Linked DNA regions of Tribolium castaneum. The protein of the gene in region 2 interacts with the protein of the main gene of each other region in a pairwise test. Links are inferred from orthologs where the notes say so. Each region holds a gene or a part of one and is shown on either strand. Other genes may lie near its edges.

Region 1 (2,977 bases), on a different chromosome or scaffold from region 2:
TATTGATTTAAAAGTGTGAAATTCATTACGAGGGATGTTTACAAAATGCAGGAAATACTTAGGCAAATGAAGTTGATTGCCTTCAGAATGCGTTCGCTATACCTCTCTGAGCTGAATCTTTTAATACACATCGTCGCATAAAAACCCGTTGGTATGTACCCACCTCAAGATATTCGGCTGTTATAATTATGTCTATCATTCAGCTCTTTCATATGCTAATTAATGAGATCCTGAAATACTTACTGATAGCTTTTTCTCGTGATTAATTATGATTCAGCGTCAAGTTAATTGTATAATTTTGAATAGGACAGACGTCATTCGAGAAAACGTATAAGGAGAGCTATGAAGCTGTAATTTTTTCTGACAAAGAATGCGATTTTTAATTCAATTTATGGCATAGCTGAGATAAGGTATTTTAGTTTACTAATTATGGCTGTGTATGTAGATAAAGCTTTGAAATAATGGCTAATTTTTTCAGAGTGAATACTCGGTGTAATTTATAGATTTCATGAATCTTTTTACAGCATAATTATTCGTAATTTGCTGTCAATAACTATTAAATAAAGTAGTCGTTATTAATTAGAGGAAGCCGGTTTAATGTGCAGCTTCTGGTGGTTTAACTGCATGAAAAATTGCTAGGAGTGGGAAAGTACAAAAGAATGTTACTTCATAACTTTTATTAAATCAAATAAAATTGTTACAATATATTTCATATACCTAACAAAAAGAAAAAGGTAAAAGGCAATGATATGATAAATAAGTAAACTGTAAATGGTTAAATACATTATAATGATATATCTAAATCTGCGAAATAATTGCTGTAGTAATTGTTCACTTAAGTATATCATTACTTTTCGATAGAATCAGGTAAAAACTAACACATACGATTACACATAATCTACAGAGCTGTAGAATATAGGATTTGTTGGTAACTATATCTAACATAATTTAAAACTTAAAAAATCTAATCTAGTCAATACAGCAAGTAAAAACTGGCATTTAATGGCAAGTTTCATGTCAATAATAAATTTATAAAATGTAGTTAACAAGTTGTGCTTTAAGTACGATAGGTGGTTAACCTATCAAAAAAAAGTATTAATGCCTATAACATGGTAAAAAAGTTCTTTTTGGAAAATAATCCATAGCGATCGTCGATTAAGTACACATATTTTCTCCAAAATATACAAAACAGATAGAAATAAAGCAGGTACAAAATTCTAGAGATGACGAATATTGCAAGGTTCCCGTTTGCCCGAACCGTATGCTAAAAAAATAGCAATTATATCTCTATATTAGCATCTTATTTACAATAAATTATTTTCTTAAATTCCTTGAACGAAGCCGTTAGTGCGAAAAGGACATCAACTAAAGCTCTTGTATATTTTCTTTAAGACTATAATATTATAAGCGGACGGTGTAAGTTTTTTAAAGAATAAAGGTGCAGGTAACACCCAAATATCGACCATTCCTTCAGGTAACTCTCTTTTCAGTCCATCCGTTACGATCCAAGGCAGTTGTTGATATGAAATTATAGATATGAAATGGCACATTTAATTCTCAAGTCGACTGGTAACTAGCGCGAAATTAGTAAAACCCCCTCAAACTAGGAATCAATTCTACAATTTTGGTCAACATTTACAAGGGGAAAGCTCTCGACTATTCTTTAGTTTCATATAAAAATACACAAATAAAGCGAATATAAAAATTAAATAGTTGCAGGTAACTCCCGACAGGTAATTTATTACATAACTATTAAAATATAGAATTCTTTTTGTGTAAATAAAATATTTTTTTAAGTATGTACAGTGCCTTGACTAGGTATATCGCATATATTAGTGGTTCCACACGATTGTGTAGTGGTAACATTGAAAAAATAATAAAAGCTTACAATATATTACTATAACCCTAACTATCTTTATCACGTAAAGTTGTAACATAAGTTTCTGCTCTTAGAGTATTATCTTCAGGTTCGTTCTCTTGGTCGCGTATTCAAAATATAGTTCGTCACAAAGAAAAATTGTGACCATCAGAATCGAGTTCTGAGTGCCCGAGCACTAGAAACAGCAAACATCAATAGGTTGAACTAAGCCTACGAGAGTAAGCAACAATAATTTTTACAAAAAACGTAAAAAACATCGATAGTAGGTTACAGTGACGTGTTTCTCAAAGTGGAAAAGGTGTCTATCGTGCACAAGAACTGCAACACCAAAAGTTCTCAACATAATTCGAAATCTGGCGAAACTGCCCGAAAGTCCACCAGCCCCACCATCATCGTCCCAAAAAAGCGTCTTTTTTAGGCCGTGACCGGATTTTCGGGCAGTTCCCTCGCCCTCGGGAAAGACTAATACGTACGACCTATTTAACAAATCACATAGAAGAGTTTATCACGTTTCGAAAAATATCAACTAACAATTTAGAAAGGTAGGCTAGCTACGAACATCTTCTCGATGAGGGGAGGGGCCGGGACCAAGTCTTCCAGCTTCAGGTAAAAGATCCTCTGCAGTCCTTGCACGCTCAAGGACCTCAGCTCCGGCAGTTTGCCCAATAGCCGGCTAAAGTAGTGCGCCTTCCTCTGCGCCTCCGCGTTGTACGTCACATGATCCCTCAGCGAGGAGATTATCTTCATTTGGAGCTGCTCCACACGGTGGGGCTCCTTCAGACCGTGCCGCTCTGCAACAGGAGGTCCGTGGTAACAGCGCTTTCGCAACCGATTTATTTCAAGCATTCAAAATCCGAAATAAAAATTCAAACTTGCACAACGGCCAACACTTGCCAAACTGAATATTTTTAAACGTCCATCTCGATCGAAACCCGCTTCCGTGAAGATCAGTTTCGTTGCGAAACTCCTCAAAACCCGAGAATTTTAAACATTTGCTGAGTCAGCAGATTTCTCTTATTGCATGCTGAAGTTTTAACACAACATGCACAAAATTTGTTGATGGAGTCCAAACAAGCAATAAATTACGTTTTTTCGACA
Region 2 (3,255 bases):
AGCATGCCGCAGCCACCGTATGGAGGCCCGCCTCCGGATCACCGCAACGATATGCCCCCAATAAGCGAACAAGAGTTTGAGGATATTATGTCAAGAAATCGGACGGTTTCGTCGTCGGCTATCGCTCGAGCGGTTTCGGATGCTGCCGCCGGCGAATACGCTAGCGCAATAGAGACATTGGTCACGGCTATATCTCTCATCAAACAATCGAAAGTCGCGAATGATGACAGGTGTAAGATTTTGATTAGCTCGTTACAGGATACTCTACGAGGTGTGGAGGATAAGAGTTACAGTTCGGGAAGAAGAGATCGGTCAAGATCGAGAGATAGAGCACACAGGAGAGGTCGTAGGGAACGATCGTCTTCAAGATATCGCGAAAGAAGCCGTGAAAGAGACAGAGATCGTGACAGGGACCGCGATAGAGATAGATACTATGCGGATAGTTACAGGGAGCGGGAGCGGGATAGATCCCGGAGTAGAGGAGACCGGGAACGGGAACGCGAATACAGAGACAGAGAAGCAGATGATGCGTAAGTGGTATTTTGCAACGACGTTGAGTAAATTATTAGTTTGGATTTTTTATAGGTCCCGTGTGTCCCGGTCCAGGAACAAGTCGCCTCCTGACGCAGTGGATCCCTCAGGAGAGCCGACATCGAAATCTCGTTATTACGAAGATAGATATCGTGAAAGGGAGGGACGTCGTGAAAGTGAACGGGAACGTGAAAGAGATCGTCGAGACGAATCTCATCGTTCTCGGCATTAACAATTTTTTAGGCCGCATTCGTAATATGTTGTACCATACATGTCATGCATGTAATGAAAAAAATATACTTATATAGTGTTAGGTCAAACTAGTACACATCTCTGAATTTCATTATGTAATCGAAATGTTTATTTTGTTTGTAATATCTAAACCTATTCTACAGAAGAAGAGTGAAGAAGACGCTTAATCTGAAGAAGATTGTATGTTTTAGATAAAAAATATGGTTTAGACTGAGAATGGATTTTTATTTTTCTCTTATTTGATTGATTAACCTACTTGATCCGTTATGTAATTTGTACTGTATCACCCCTTCACTTGTTTTTATTTATTTATTATTTAAACCTCTTGTAACATTTCTTGTTGTACACTTATCTAATTTATTTTGTTTTTTAGTTTGATGTATTTTAAAACGAAAAGGCTGTGAATAACTCATGTCAATTTACTAATTTACCATTCAAACCGACTGTTTGGCTTGAATGGTAAAGGAACGATCTTTCCAATCACTTCATGCGAATAGCTTTAAGGGTTGTGAATGTTGCCAAAATGTTTTTGTATTTTTATAAGTGATAGGTTTAGATAAATCAGCTTCGCATCTCATTACTCCGGAAGTTGATTTATTCAATTCCTGACCGCACTTTGAAAAAATTATTTTAATTTATATTTTTTATAATTTTGTAATTCCGCACCAAAATTGCCCGATTTTATTTCTCATTTGATTTGTAAAAACTAGTTAGGCTGATAACCGACCGTGGAAAAAATTCTCAACTCGAACCAAAGTACAAATGTAGTGTAATTTCTTTATACAATATAAATAATTTAACCATTCATGGTGTTGTTTCCCGAAACGCGGTCGTTACGGTCCTGTTCTTTGATAATTCCGCGAGTCATTTCAGAGGGCGCTCATTATTTGACAACCGTCAAAAGTGACATTTGTTGACTTGTCGAAACGCAAACTGCAAATCACGCCGAAATTTTCAAACTTTAATAAAAACAATGAGTTCAATAGGCACAGGCGTGAGTATTTACCAATTTAATATCAATTAAGACTGACTAGCAAGTTTTAGTATGATTTATCGGCGTCTCAATTTTCCCCCGATGGTCGAGTTTTCCAAGTGGAGTATGCGATGAAAGCCGTGGAAAATAGCGGCACCGTTATCGGTCTGAGAGGCAAAGATGGGGTTGTCTTAGCCGCCGAAAAACTAGTTATGTCGAAATTGCATGAGCCGGGCACCAACAAACGAATTTTCAACGTCGATAGACACGTTGGAATGGTACTTAGAGCCCCCCTTAAAACTCAAATATTTGACTAAAAACGCCTGTTTTAGGCGTTTTCGGGGCTTATTGCCGACGCCAGACAAATCGTGGACATTGCACGCCGCGAAGCTGCCAACTACAGGTCCCAGTATGGGGTCAGTATCCCCCTTAATTACCTCAACGATAGGGTCAGCATGTACATGCATGCCTACACTTTGTACAGTGCAGTCCGGCCCTATGGTTGCAGCGTGATTCTGGCGAGTTGTGGCGAAGAGGGCCCCACTATGTACACAATAGACCCCTCAGGAGTCAGTTATGTAAGTGTGCCCCCTCAAAAATTATTTTTTTTTGTAAATTTGTGATATAGGGCTACCATGGTTGTGCTATAGGCAAGGCGAAACAGTCAGCAAAAACCGAAATTGAAAAATTGAAATTGTCCGGAATGACTTGCAGAGAGCTGGTCAAAGAGGCGGCAAAAATGTAAATTTGACCGTTTGTGCGAGGAGTTATTTCATGGTTTGTTTCAGAATTTACTTAGTTCATGATGAGCTCAAAGATAAGAATTTTGAGTTGGAGTTGTCGTGGATGTGTGAAGAGAGTGGTGGAAGACATGAAAAAGTGCCTGAGCATGTATTTCTTGAGGCGGAAAAGGCCGCGAAACAAGCAATGGAGGCCGATTCAGATTCAGATACTGAGGATATGTAATTTTATTTTAAGTAATAAATTTCTAAAAAATGACATCTTCCTCTTTTTATTGTCAAAATGATCAAAAGGCGCATTTTCTGTCGCCTGAGGCGGAAGAACCCGTTGGGAGTCTCATACAGATTCCTCAGAAAGTGGCTATCAGAGGTACGAAAGTGCAAGTAATGACTGTTTTGAGGTTAGATACCAATTGTTGGCGACCTTATCAAATCGTTAGAAAATGAGTAGCTGTAAAGATAAACTAGTGAAGGACATGATAGTGCAACTTCTGCCGATTTAATTGCATTTATTTAGTCAATTTCTGCGAGTCAAAGTGCGCAGACACGTCCTTTTTGAGAATTCCATGCCAATCAATAATAAGGCAATTGTGTAAAATCTTCGCCGGCCTATATAATTTTATTTCTCCGATAAAAGCATCATTAAAACATGACCAACAACGAATTGCGTCGACGAAAGGTAAGAGCTCAAACCAAGATCAAACCTCCGTTCTATTAATAACTGATTTGGACTCGTGTCGTGCCGTAAAACCCAAACAT

What was found.
Region 1: the proteins of Prosalpha7 (region 2) and Hr38 interact in a two-hybrid assay, tested with the Caenorhabditis elegans proteins (2 studies listed by BioGRID). The link is inferred for Tribolium castaneum from reciprocal best matches to the Caenorhabditis elegans genes pas-7 and nhr-6.

What each region holds. Positions count from the first base shown.
Region 1 is NC_087398.1:2,570,230-2,573,206, reverse strand, and holds the end of Hr38 (probable nuclear hormone receptor HR38), read right to left. Parts: intron 2,671-2,977; coding exon 2,414-2,670; 3' UTR 663-2,413; downstream 1-662. UniProt on the Caenorhabditis elegans protein: Transcriptional activator that induces gene expression by binding to the NGFI-B response element (NBRE) 5'-AAAGGTCA-3'. Required for proper morphogenesis of the spermatheca and the spermatheca-uterine valve formation.
Region 2 is NC_087402.1:4,014,613-4,017,867, forward strand, and holds Prosalpha7 (proteasome subunit alpha type-3), read left to right. Parts: upstream 1-1,617; 5' UTR 1,618-1,756; coding exon 1,757-1,777; intron 1,778-1,827; coding exon 1,828-2,034; intron 2,035-2,088; coding exon 2,089-2,334; intron 2,335-2,384; coding exon 2,385-2,497; intron 2,498-2,544; coding exon 2,545-2,722; 3' UTR 2,723-2,755; downstream 2,756-3,255. Other genes in the region: cleavage and polyadenylation specificity factor subunit 6, read left to right, coding at 1-530, 586-763; NTPase (ectonucleoside triphosphate diphosphohydrolase 5), read left to right, coding at 3,146-3,175.